Mytilus edulis: one gene and its partner. The protein of the gene in region 1 purifies or fractionates together with the protein of each later gene. This does not show direct contact. Links are inferred from orthologs where the notes say so. Each region holds a gene or a part of one and is shown in the gene's direction. Other genes may lie near its edges.

Region 1 (7,178 bases):
TACACAACTAAAACAGGTATAATCCCAACACATTGTGTGTAAGTGACAAGTCATACTATTTGGACCGTGTCCTGTTCGTTGTTTGTCTGTTTAATTGTCTGTTTGACTGTCTGTCTGTCTGCTGAGAAATCAGTTGTGATTGCTGGTATAGTCTGTAACGACTACCGCTTTTTTGTGATTTCTGATATCCTCTTTTTCTATAATTTTAATTATCATGCAATTTACGTACAGACAAACCAAGGTAGTTGTTTGCACAGAAATTGAGTATGTCTGCTTGAGATCCTGCTACGTGAATTGTAGGGCCTTGTTTAGATGTGATGACACGTTCTCCCTTCCACGTCCCAGCATCTTTTATACCCTCTAGTTCATGCTGCAGATCTTGTTGTACGGCAGCTGCAGCTTGTGTAGATCTCTTTCTTGTAAAATATTTTAAAGCGCGATGATCTGAAGAGAAAAATTAGTATTTGAGAATAATATTCATGCATTTATTTATCTCTACATGTTAGATTGATTCAACACAATTTGGTTTGACCTCATATTAAGTTGCTAAATGATAAATGCATGGGAAGGAATAGAAACAAAATGACAATGCATGTATTTCATCAGATTTGGAAGTATGCATAGTCGATTAATTAAGGTTTTGTGCAATGATTGAATGATTCCGTTTTCCAAAGCATTATTTGCTTGTTGTTAAGATATGCCAAGAGACACCCATAACTTTATTTGAGCACTGGCTAAATGTCGGTATACCACCATTGTTTCTACTAATTGCCTGTCTTTTTACGCTAAATTTCGCTTATATCCGTTTGTTAGATATTACATCATCTGCGGTCCGGAATATAACGATCATATTTTTATCGAATAAAACATAATAGTTGTGTATTTTATGAATAGTGGCATGCTTTATGCATATATAGTATATAGGTCTACTCAACCATTACGAATATTTAAAACTTTTCCATGTCCGTGTAGAAGAAAATATCACAATATGTTATTCCATGCTTTCAGTGAAGGTAAAACATATTGTGTCAGATTTAGCGATCCTGTCCAACAAGCATGAAACGTTTGACAGCTGTTGACAGATATAAATACAAATATACAATATTTATTTTCATTTCTGACTTCATATTATTTAATGTTAGAACTATTTTATAAATCCCTGAATGAATAAGCATTGAAAGAAAGTAATTAAGAAATGTCTTTGTTGTGACTTGTGATTTAAATTCCATGTTGACCTTGGTTATAAAATTACAAGTTTTTTTATACTCGAATGTAGTGTATAAATTGCCCAAATATGTACGTAAACCTATATATGAAATAAGAAGAGAAAAAGCATTCACACCACATCTGTTGGAAAAAATGTTATAGGTTAACATATATGTATATAAAGCAAGTCCTGCATATATGCGTTCTTTAGTGCATACGTGAAAAAAGCTAAATGAAAGTTTCAGTTTGTGCAATTAAAAAACTTTAACGCTATAGATTTTATTTTGTATGCGAAACGGGACTCGGAATCAAACTGTTAACCGTCAACATCTCGTTCTGTTAACTTCTGCACGAGTAAGGTAAAGGGATTGTGGAAATCTACAAGTTAAAGAATTATTGACTACCCTATGGTTTATATAAACAATTTGAAATGTTAATGTTTAAAAAAATATAATATAGACTTACTATGACGTTTAGATATTTTAAGTACAAAATCCCCGATTTTTTCCATTGCACAATATGGTTAATGACAACAGCCTGTTAGAGGTGTGTGACATTCAACCAATCCGATAAAGGAATATCTAAATATGTATTTTATTTATGGTTCACTACATGTTCTTTGAAACGCTTCGTTTACTTGTCATTAAAGGAAAGTCTGGACTTGCGCATTGAGTTTACTTGTAGGGGATTTTTCAAACATGCGAAGTCGAGTGAAATCAACTCTACTTGGAAAATAGAATGAATTCTTCAAATTTTTATATAAAAAAATGATTTAATAATGATTTTTCATTGTATCAAATAATAAAGAATGCGTAGATTTATTTTGTTGTAAATTTTTTAAGTTAGATAGGCAGTTTTGTTTTGTGATTTGTAAGATAAGATAACAATATATATAAAAACTAAAGCATATGGTAAGTTGCATATGTCTTTGAATAAACGGGCTTACTGCATGCTTTTAGTGTTAATAAACCCATATAAAGGACATATGATGAAAATAAAAGGTGTGCATTTTCAACATAAACACATTTTTTAACCAACCCTCGTTGTTCCGTCAGTTGTGCCGGTCTCAGTCTTAACTGTTCCTTCAAGTGTTCCCTGTAGTGACATGTATAGCTTTGAATATAACATCAGCACATGGGGGAATTCAATGTCCTGTTAAAATATAGTAAATGGATTCACGATAGTGATAGGGTTTGTTTTGGCATTGTAACTTTGTCAAAAGTTCACAAGGTTTTAGGAAACTACAGAATTTTCTTTATCACAAAAATACAGCATACAGAGCAGTCTGTAGTTAAAAGATTTAAAAAACTTTCAGGGTCAGATATTCATGGCATTTTACAGCAAGTTGGAAAGACACTTCTTCGTAGTCAAGAGTAATCACCCTGAGCCAATTTCTTTCATTCGTTTTGTCGATATTGTCAATGTTTCCCCATATAATTTGAAATAGGTGTTTTTTTTTACAAACATTTGCCTTTTAAGACAAAGAAGAAGTTGAAATTTTAGACATTTGGTCCGAGACCACCATTGTCGTCCCTTGATTTTCGTTGTTCACAAATATAGTCCCTAGTGTTGACAGTGGGTTACTTGCCATTAATTTTTATACCCCTTCCAAATTTATTTCTCCATGTTCACTGCCTCAAATTGCAAGAAGGGGGTTGAAATTACACTGTAAAAAAATTTGGGTCCAGAATTTTAAAGGAAAGTAGTGATTTGGTCCAGCTGAAAAAGGTTGAAAATGAGCACTTCGGAAGCTGTCAAAAGATTTCAAGACGCCCTAAACATAAAATTGGCCATATTTTGAGTTAGAGGCGATGAAGTTTTCTATAAATTTGATATAATTTGTCCCAAAAGTAGTACAACACACTGTAAAAGTTTCTTTGAGAAAGCGCAGGTGGGATTTTTTTTATTTTCATTTATGTTCTAAAAGAAATGCACTACGAATTAATTGTGTTCTCGGACCATTTACTCAAAATTTCGGGTCTTTATTTAACATTTCTATCCTTTGGATAGACACACCTAACTTGTTTTTAAATACCAACAGCTATACACAGGTGGATTTTGGTAAAAAAAAATATGAAAGTCTTCTTTACATAAATATGCTTAATCAGTGTTAACAAAGTTTCAAGATTTTAGGGAAAAAAACGGCATTTTCTAAGGTATATTTATCAAATTTAAAAAAACCCATCATCGTTCACTTTTTCATTAAAATTGGAACAAATAATCGTCATATGTAATCAAACCTAATGCCATTTTGTAAAGGAGGGGTCAATGTCCTCTCCTTTTTTTTTTTTTTTTTAAATTGAATCGGTTAAAATTATGAAAAACAGTCGAAAATGCATCTGTCCCCCTTAGTTTCTCTCTCTCTATATATATACAGTTGATAAATTCTAAGTCATTTCATCTCTGCTGAGGATATGTTTCAGTAGCAATCATACCAAATCTTCTTATTTTGATTAGGTATTTGAATTAGAAAACAAGTATTCGAATACACCTCATGGTGGTCCTGTCCTTTTTCTCATTTTATCAGCGACATCGCTCTCTTAGATTTATCATCATATTTGGTCTCAGTATTTGGTAGTTCTAACCTGTCGTATTTCCAAGATGTTGCTTTTATATCTTAATGAATGTTAACTTGGCTTGTTTAAAATGATGTAAATTTTGTAAACATAAATGAGCCAAATATCAAGTGCCGGTGTCCTGATGAGTCTCATTTGTAGGGTTGAAACATTTGCTTTTTCAAGAAAATCATTTTCAATACGGTCATCTCAACGCTCTTTCTTGTAAAAAAAATCTAATTTTTTTTTCAAATTTAGAAAATTAATTTAAAACTCATAAAAAACTTTTTTCCCCAGTGATCACGATTTAAATTTTTATCTTGAATTCATCTGAGGGTAGGGAGGGCTTTGAAGGTGGTAATATTTTTCTGATCATTTCCGAAACATATGTCCGTCAGTCGGTCCCGATTTAGAATATACCGGAAGTAAATGTTTGGCGGAAAATTCAAAACATGGCGGACTTAGAACGAACCTTGGAAGTTTTTGCAAAATTATCCTTACAAAACTTTACAAATGGTAAACAATTCAAAATAACGGTATTTGAGATCTCTTAAATACAAATATCCGTATAAAGAAATCGTTTGTGAAACATTTAAATTCTTTTCAGAGCTAGAAAACGTAACACACAAACCAGACCCCTATAGATATTTCATTTCAAGAACGAAGTGGATGCAATAAAATACAAAAGTCTTTATTAAGATCTTGGTTTTATGAGAAAAAAATGTCAAATACTAGATTAAATGGCCCTGTTTGCACTAAAAATACAAAAGAGACTTCTTTGTTGTGGTCAACAAGCTTGAAGTTGCGCCTTCGCTACAATGCCCTTATCAATATATATATCAGTGTATCCCAAACTCTTTCTACTAACAAAATGTGGCTATATCTTGTTTATCCCGTATGGGATTGAAGAAAAATGCTGGTTTGCAATATAAACTACGCTATTTTTTTATATGAATAAAGAAAAGATTTTATTTTATATCTGTCATAAGATGTGTACTATTTTGATCCTTATTCTCTCCCGTAATATTCAACAATTTCAATAAAGAAGTGTCTTTTTATATTAAATACGGGATAGAATGAGCATCAGTATATATAAGACGATTTCAATAAAAAAAAAAGTGTCTTTCTGTATTAAAAAAGTGTTCAATAAAGAAGTGTCTTTTTATATTGAATACGGAATAGAAAGAGGATCAGTATATATAAGACGATTTCAATAAAAAAGTATCTTTATATTGAAAACGGGATAGAATGAGGATCAGTATATAACAGGCTATTATTTGAACTTGGAATTATTTTTAATTATGGAATTTGCATAATTTCTTGTGTTTAAAATTTTTAATAAATTCCATGTTAATGTGGTATTATAATCTTTTGAGCGGTTAATAAAACTTTCCATACAATGTATTTTGGTTAGATAGTGTTGTGCGCGGCACAGTACATTCTATTGAAAATATAGTATTTTCTTTGTAATAGAAAGTGTTGTGCGCAGCACAGAGCATTTCAGTACAGAATAAACATGGAATTTATAAAAAAATTCACTAACAAGAAATCAAGCAAATTCCATAATTAAAAATAATTCCAAGTTCAAATAATAGCCTGTTACATATACATGATATAGAAGAGGATTTCAATAAAGAAGTGTCATTTTATATCAAATACGGGATAGAATGAGGATCAGTATATATAAGACGATTTCAATAAAGAAGTGTCATTTTATATCAAATACGGGATAGAATGAGGATCAGTATATATATATACATGATATAGAAGACGATTTCTATATAAAAAAAAGTGTCTTTCATATAAGAAATGTGTATCTTATTACGGGATAGAAAAGAATAATTAATTAATCTATATAAAAGTTGAAGAAAGGGTTTTCTTTGGGGAGATGTTATAAAAAAGGGGTAAAGATATTTTGGGGGGGAAAGAAATATGAAAATTCAATTTGTGATGCCAAATACGTGATAGTTTAAACTATTCTGTATTAGTATAGTATGAATAAATGCAATCAATATATTATAATCTATATATCGGTTTATTTCGTAACAAAGTTTATTTATAATACTCTAATTACGAAATAAACGATATTTATTATTTAATCTTTGTCTTTAAAGATATGTTTGTATACATGTATATACAGTTACTGATTCTCATTTTATGCCGTATTATGCATACACATTCAATAAATATGGTACAATCTATATATTGGTTTATTTCGTAATAAAAGTTATAACTCTAATGACAAAAAAAACGATATTAGTGATCTGACCTTAATTAGTAATTAAGTTTATTTCGTTTAATAATGTAAGAAATACAGGTAAATAGGGGCAGTGCAGTCTTTCCTTTATTCATAATTTCACGCTACATGATATACAACATTAAATATATATGCCATTTCATTCTTTCCCGTAAATGGAAATGACAGGATAGAATAAGGATATAGACCAAAATGTCAGACAAAAATCATTCGGTTAGATAGAACTTTAAAGATTTTTTTTATGAATATATAGTAGAAAACTTAAAATTTCTCTTTTGGTCAGACAAACCCAAAAACAGTTTGGCACAGACTGCATATATGCCCCCTAATTTAATAGAATCACTAAAGTTTTTATAAAAAATGATTAAACATCACAATAGAAAATATCCAACGTCACAAAGAATTGCTTTGAAAGTTAAATGTTGGACAATAAAAAATGCTAAGTCAGAATCAAGTGTCACAAATAAATTTGCAGGTCAAGTGTTGCATCAATATTAGAAGTCTATATTAAATAATTTTTGTAATGGTTTAAGACTTACAAGTCTTGTGATACTTTTATCATGATCAGCATAAAAACAAAAGAACTTGCTTTCAAAACGTATGTCAGACCAAAAATAGAATAGTGTAGTGTTGTCTGGGCCCCCATGGAAGAAACAACAAATACAAAAAAATTGAAATGATACAGAGAAAAGCTGCCAGGTATATACTAAATCAATACAGCTACAAATGTATCAAAGCAGTGTAACAGCCATGCTTGAACACCTAAGCTGGCCTACATTACAACAAAGAAGAAATTCGCATCAGTCACCATGCTTAAAATTCGCATATTTAGGAATCAACAATTTGCAGCATCGACAACAAGAAGTTGTGTACCTGTTTGTAAAACATTGAAGAAAGAATTGGGGGCAAACATTAACAACTAAAAAATGGTTTTTATGAATTAAAATTGCAAATTTCATGCAACATACATCTTTGATTCTAAATGAAAACCAAATGTTTTAATTCGATAGTTATCTACTAAATAAAATCAGAATTACAATACCATATTTCTTCAGATTAATTTTCATGTATTTTTTTAAAACCTATAAAGTGATTCAATATTATGAATGATTGTTTTACTGTGTTATTTGTCTTTAAATTATGTTAAACTTCTGTTTTAT
Region 2 (7,776 bases), on another chromosome or scaffold:
CATTTAAAAAATGATAATATTATATTTTTTTCAATTTCAGAATTCATAATTTTCTGATTACTTATTGATTTAACTATGACAGAAATTAATCTTCCATTTTGTGGGTCTCATAATTTTCATTAGTATTCATTTTATTTTTCAGCTTGTTTAACACTTGAGATTAAATGAACATTTTGAAAATAATAATAAATATAAATACATTTAAAAGTTATACATGTTATAATAACCGTATACAGTTTTTACATGTACATGTCTTATCACAATACTTTATAAATAAAATTTATATTATACGAAAAAAAAAATGTTCAGAGGACCCGGAAAATAGGGTAAAAACTCTAATTTGACATTAAAACTAGAAAAAGATCATATCATAGGGAACATGTGAACTAAGTTTCAAGTTTATTGGACTTTAACTTCATCAAAAACTACTTTTACAATGACCAAAAACTTTAACCTGAAGCGGGACAGAGACACAGACCAGAAAACATATAAATGCCCATTATAGGGCATAGAAAATTGATTTGTTATTATAATGGTAGGTCTAAATGGGGGCATCATCATGACAAATAATGGTAAATTTTTTCCAAAATTAACAGTAACGATAATTATTTGAGACTGATGAGAAATCTGGACAAGGATATTTTGAGGAATCATTGTAAAATTTTAACCTATTTGAAGCTAACAGTAGCAGAAAATGATGGTTTGACACCTAACGGCTAAGGGCATTACTACTGTACCCTTACTAACGGACCTCAGTATGTATGTATGTACAGGTAAATGCCTCCGATATCCGAAGAACCCCTCGAAAGCTGCGAGGGTACAGTGGCATCCATGTACACTCCCTAACGGGATTAATGGAGATATGTCACTAACGTATATTTATACGACAATTATTTTTACAAGGACAATCAATCCCCACACAACACAAAGGGAGTGCTAGGACACCAGGAAGTCTATTATTATGGGGGAGGAAGCCGAAGTACTCGGAGAGAACAACCGGGTCACTCGGTGGAAACAGACAAACCAGAGAGATATCAGAAGATTGATCTCCAGGTCAAAGTAGGGGGACAACTTTGACCAACCAAGGCCCCCAAAGTACCCATTCTAGTTTAAACTCCGGTCTGGGTACATCAGTATGCATCTGGTGTGATTCAAAAGACTTTCTACTGTTCTAATAACCTTTGGCTTAGTCTGAGATTACTCTGACGTCCAACAGCTGTTTTACCAGACAAGCTAGGGCCGTGGATCGGACTACCTTTGGCCTTGGTTAAACAATAGTCAAGTTTCCCTTTGTCTTTTGGACTTGATTTACAAAAAAATGTACATAATTGTGAAAACAGAGAATAGAATATAATATCTATCTATCTTCCCGTCAAGGAGAAGTTATACATTGTATAATATATTTTGTATGTCCGAAAATAGTTCAAGTTGTGCCAGTTGCAGTATGTCCGCACATAGATGTAATACCAAGATGAAGATGGATATTACATCTATGGTCCTAAACATCTTGCATCTGAAAAGAATATTTTTAAAAGGTTGAAATTAAAGTTGGGACGAAAATCATATAAGACTGTTATATGTAAATTACCTATCAAGATGAGACCAAACAGTGTAATTGCCATGAACTTGTCTTTTACTGTACAATTTCTAAATGGATATCTAAATCTCATATTCGTCTCTCTCCTCTCTCGGTGTTCTAACAAGGAAGATAATCAAGATTAAACCGGAAGCTAGCATTTTGACCAATGCCTGTCGGGAACCACTAATGACAGGACGATTGCCCGGATAGTGACAGGACGGTTGACCGGACGACATATATATAGTCATAACTTTTTTGTTATCCGATAGATTTGTTTAATATTTGTAAACCTGAAAGATATTAAACTATATTTTATGAATATAAAAAAAAAAGAGGAAAAATAATTATTTTTGAGCAAAAAAAGTTGACCGGACGGTATTCACACTTGCCAATATACGCTAAATATATATTCAACTGGTTGACGACAAGTGTTAATATCTCTTTTGTTTTACAATATTTGTCCATGAAACTCAGGAATCTGTGAGATTTATAAATATATTATACGAAAATATAAACTTGATTGCAAAAAAACGTGTTTTTCTCAAAAAAAAGTTGACCGGACGGTATTCACCCTCGCCGATATACGCTATATATATATTGAAATGGTCGACGACAAGTGTTAATATCTCTTTTGTTTTACAATATTTGTCCATGAAACTCGGGAACCTGTGAGATTGAATAATATATTACACGAAAATATAAACTTTAGGGTAAAAAAGAAAACAAATCTGCAAAAAAAGTTGACCGGACGGTATTCACCCTCGCCGATATACGCTATATATATATTCAACTGGTCGACGACAAGTGTTGATATCTCTTTTGTTTTACAATATTTTATCATGAAATTCAGGAATCTGTGAGAATAATAAATATTGGATACGACAATATAAACTTTATAGTGAAAAAAAAAGTTTGTCTCCAAAAAAAGTTGACCGGACGGTGTTCACATTCGCCGATGTACGCGTTAATTATATTGAACTGATACAAATAAGTGTCAATATCTTATTTGTTTTACAATATTTTTACACGAAACTAACAAATCTACGAGATCAATAAATACTTGATATGAAAATATAAACTTTATAGTAAATAAAAATGTTTTTCTTCAAAAAAAGATGACCGGACGGAACAAACATTCGCCGTTATATGCCTTAATATAAGTTGGTAGACCCAAGTGTTTATATCTCTTTTATTTTATCAAATTTATGAAATCTGAGAGATCAATAAGTACTTGATATGAAAATATAAACCTTATATCAAATATGTTAAATGTTGTTCTTAAAAAAAAAAGTTGATCTGAGGGAATTAACATTCGCCGATATTATTATTTAAATATATTGAACTGATCAACACAAGTTTTAATATCTCTTCATTTTTATAATATATCTGTCCATGAAATGAAATAATTTGTGAGATTAGATAAATATTTTACAAGAAAAATAAACTTTAAAGTAAAAACAATGAGCCCAAAATGTTTATGTGAGCGAGTTCACCAATGCATATTAGAAGTAATGATATTTAATCAAATTAATCTAATTTTGACACTTGTTGTAATCACCAATCAAGCCAAATAACATGTCATTAAAGTTTTCACACCTGAGACATCAAATACATTTAATTGAATTACCTTATAATCAGTTGGTAATTAGTATCCAATTAAAGAAGAAATTTTATGAAGTTCAGGATTTCAGATTAACATTTAACTCACCTAATAATAACTATTCAATTGTTCAGTCATTTATGCTCTGACTTTCAACCAGTTCAGATCACACAAATTATATTTCTACTATATTTTGCTTTTTGCATGTCTTTTTAAAGACAATTTTCAATATATATTCATTATTGAACTATTGATATAGATAGATTGATAGTTGTGTTACTATCTATATTGCTTTATTCAAAAGCATGTCTTTTTAAAGACAGTTGTCAAACATATATTTATAAATACAAAAGTAAACAGATTGATATTAGTGCTACTATATATTGCTTTATTTAAAGGCATGTCTTTTTAAAGACAGTTGTATAGCCATCATATTAGTACAACTTACCAGTAGACAAAATATCAAAATGGACAGTGGGTCTATTGTCTATATGCATACAGATGTATTACATCAAACAGAAATAGTAGATATTTAATAATATGCTATTAACAATATTATAACCAAAGAAGAGATATTTTAGTCTTGTGTCGATCAGTTCAATATATTAAGGCATATATCGATTGAATGTAAAATCCGTCCGGTCAATTTTTTTAATTTTTTTTTTATTATTTAAATATATAGTTTAATTTTTCGTATAATATATTTATTCATTTCCAATGTTCATAAATTTCAGGGACAGATATGGTAAAAAAAATAATATTAACACTTATGTCAATCAATTTATTATTATTAACATATATCGGCGAATGTTAGCTGTCCGGTCAACTTTTTTTTGAAGAAAAATATTTTTTTTATCATAGAGTTTATATTTTCATATCATATATTTATTTATCTCGCACATATCTCAGTTTTATGAAAAAATATTGTTTACAAAAAAAATATTTACATTTTTTGTCGCTCAGTTCAATATAATCAACGCGTACATCGGCGAGGGTGAATACCGTCCGGTCAACTTTTTTTGCAGATTTGTTTTCTTTTTTACCCTAAAGTTTATATTTTCGTGTAATATATTATTCAATCTCACAGGTTCCTGAGTTTCATGGACAAATATTGTAAAACAAAAGAGATATTAACACTTGTCGTCGACCATTTCAATATATATATAGCGTATATCGGCGAGGGTGAATACCGTCCGGTCAACTTTTTTTTGAGAAAAACACGTTTTTTTGCAATCAAGTTTATATTTTCGTATAATATATTTATAAATCTCACAGATTCCTGAGTTTCATGGACAAATATTGTAAAACAAAAGAGATATTAACACTTGTCGTCAACCAGTTGAATATATATTTAGCGTATATTGGCGAGTGTGAATACCGTCCGGTCAACTTTTTTTGCTCAAAAATAATTATTTTTCCTCTTTTTTTTTATATTCATAAAATATAGTTTAATATCTTTCAGGTTTACAAATATTAAACAAATCTATCGGATAACAAAAAAGTTATGACTATTTATATGTCGTCCGGTCAACCGTCCTGTCACTATCCGGGCAATCATCCTGTCATTAGTGCAACCCATGCCTGTCTGCCTTACAAAATTTGTTTTGGGCGCCATTTTCAGATTTACAACAACAACAAAATTTTAAAAATGTCAGAAGAAATGGAAGTTGCGACCTCCAACGCGGAAACATCTCCTCAAAGAACGCTTAATCTTGAAACAGGTAGTTCACGTCTTAAAACACAAAAGGAGAAAACACATCAACCTTCAAAACCAGATTATTTTTCAAATCATCACAAATCATCAAATGTCATCAAAAATTTATAGAAGTTCTAGTTCATGTCTTTTCACCAGCTGCTGTCATACATTATAAAGCATATCATAACCATCTTGCTTCTTTTGGTATAAAAATAAAACAGCAGGGATTCTTAAAATTAAAGACCATTTTCGTCCATGCAGAATCCAGGTTCGTTCGCCCAAGGCTGAGATATAGAACAGTATAGATGGAGTATTATACACCTTAATGCTATTCCCAGCTGATCCAAGAATCTGTCCTGCGTGGACAATAGATGTCATACAACAATCACTTGTCCATTGTGGTGTCAGATTATTTCATGACGTCAATTTTTTTTTAGGTACCTCAGTAACCTGTGTCAAGTCCGACAAAGAGCAATAAGGTGTACATGTATTTGGGGAGGGAGGGGTCTCAACCCAGATCCCGCTAATTTTTTAGTGAGAATCCTGTATCCTGCTTCACGTTGCCATAATGGTGCATGTAATTTCCCGTGTCCTACAGGACTTCACTTAAAACAAATCTGTCCCGCATCACGGTTAGACCCCAATGAAACCCCTATAGATATGTTTCTGGTAAGCACCAAAAAAAAATGTTTGCTAATATAAAGATCAATTAATGGATATCACTACTTAGGCTCTTGCACGAAGAACATTATACTCCAAGATCAAAACTGGCATTCATGATACAAAGAAGCTCCAAGTTTGTCATCAGGTGTTGAAATAGTATAGAGGGATGGTGATATATATGTTTCCAGCTGTAGTCGCATGTAGAGTGGACCCAAGTGAACCCATAAAAAACAACATTTTTTGGATTAGAGTAAAACTAATCTGGGTACAGCAGTCTAAAGAAAGTCATTGCACAAAAAAAATCCAAGAACTTACTGATTTTTTACTTCTATTTGACCTGCAACTGGAAGTACAAAATGTAGTCATTTGTATGCATATTTCAAAGATAATTACAATCATTTATGATAAGTTGTATGTCTGAGGGTTTACACTTTTTTTGAAAGTTTTAGGCCTCTGAACTGTGTAAAACACTGAAGGGAAGCCCAATCCTGAAAACCCATTTTTAACCAATTTAAATTTTCCAAGTTCTTATTTGCACTCTCAATACACTGTATTACGGTCAGTGTTACGCAATATCTGATAATATAGTTTTACCTGAGCCAGGCTTATCTCAGCCTTATCGGACTATGTTATCATGTAATAGACTAATAGTGTAAATGATCATCAAGAAGATAGATATTTTCAGAAGAAAATTAAAAACTTCAGTGCAGAAATTAAAGAAATAACAATCAACACGGGTACGGAATCGCCGCGGCTTCTGTATAATGTCACTAGTAAATAATTCCAATGGTTTTAACTTTAACGAAGTTTGGTTTATATCTACCTGCCAAAGATAGGTTTTATTATAACAATAATGCACACGGAAGCGTAAATAAATGTCAAACTACGGAAACCACGAAACTTGTCAGCTGTTCATTAAAATATATTTTTTTTTTAAAGTTGTATACCAATTACGGTATCTTAACCATATTCGATTTTATTAATTCTGAATGAACATGTTCTCTGCAAACAACAAAGGGTGAAATCAAAGCAAAAGACATGATGGAAGTAGAAGTTTTTTTCAGATCAATGACTTCTTATGAAAAGGGGAATACACCTCCCTCTACACTCAGCTGTCAGTATAAGCAGATGTTATAAATGCTTCTCCTAATCCCAACTGAGCTAAGTTTTAGCAAGTGATAACAGCAAGCACCATGTTTCTGGTTTCAGTGACAAGTGACTGACTGAGTTTTCATGGCTTAGAAATGTTCAGGGGGTATAAGCAAAAGTTATTATGAGAGGGGGTTTTCAACCCTGAAGAGGATTAAGACAACATTGAGGAACAGACTGTCCAACAAAATAACACTATCTTGAAACAATATCCCTAGAAGTAGCAGAGAGTACAGAGATGAATATTTATATTTTGACTTCTTTAATTGACTGAATATAAATAACTTTTGTGTTTAAAATCAATTTATTTCATATAGTATATTCTTGTATAAATTCAATAATACTCTGCATTATTAAACACACAACACAAAGCAATATTGCATGTTATGATTTATGACTGATTGATTCAGATCACAAAAAGTTCACTATAAAAGGGGTTACACGCCCTTTAATTTTGTGCCTTAAAAAATCCTGGGGAGAACACTGAAATAACCTAATTCAAAGCCTCCTTAATTATTTGACAAGGCCCTGTTTAGTATGTACGAGTCTACCTATTGCTGTCAAATGATGAGTAATTTTTAGCACATTGATATATTATTAACCATGGTAACTTGGGTATCTCCATCTGGCAAATCACTTATGAATTCTTAGTGAGCCAGCTGCTTTTTCTTGCTGACTGACTGATTACCTTGATTTAGATCCTAAGCTTGTTTACACGGAAATCCTAGTCAGCAAGTTTGTTTTCTTATTGCTTATTTCTCATATTTTTTTAAGGAAAGTCCAACAGTCAGTGAGAAGATGAAATTTTCCTCTACATCTACATGTTCATATACATAATTTATTATTGACATCTGGAGATCACGAATATCTTTAATTGTTTTTACATAGGCAGTAATGATAACGTTTTTTCCTGTAGCTCAGTCCATATCGTAAACTTGGATATGTATGATAGCTCGTTTCGAAGCTGTGACATTTTCACATATGTGGTTAAATTTTCGGGGTACGAAGTGAGATTACTTTTTTCGTAAATTACCATACCCTGAACCAGTGATATTGTTTGCCTTGAATTAGTGGAGAATAAAGGCTTTT

What was found. Proteins that work in one complex are often made in the same cells at the same time.
Region 2: the proteins of condensin-2 complex subunit D3-L-like (region 1) and structural maintenance of chromosomes protein 4-like purify together in Homo sapiens (co-immunoprecipitation; 3 studies listed by BioGRID and IntAct, with this or other methods). This does not show direct contact. The link is inferred for Mytilus edulis from reciprocal best matches to the Homo sapiens genes NCAPD3 and SMC4.

Annotation. Positions count from the first base shown.
Region 1 is NC_092350.1:38,287,507-38,294,684, reverse strand, and holds the start of condensin-2 complex subunit D3-L-like, read left to right. Parts: upstream 1-4,174; 5' UTR 4,175-4,213; coding exon 4,214-4,277; intron 4,278-7,178. Other genes in the region: 2-amino-3-ketobutyrate coenzyme A ligase, mitochondrial-like, read right to left, coding at 230-444, 1,672-1,717.
Region 2 is NC_092346.1:88,614,498-88,622,273, forward strand, and holds the start of structural maintenance of chromosomes protein 4-like, read left to right. Parts: upstream 1-4,758; 5' UTR 4,759-4,827; coding exon 4,828-4,900; intron 4,901-7,776. Other genes in the region: UDP-glucuronic acid decarboxylase 1-like, read right to left, coding at 1,589-1,670. UniProt on the Homo sapiens protein: Central component of the condensin complex, a complex required for conversion of interphase chromatin into mitotic-like condense chromosomes.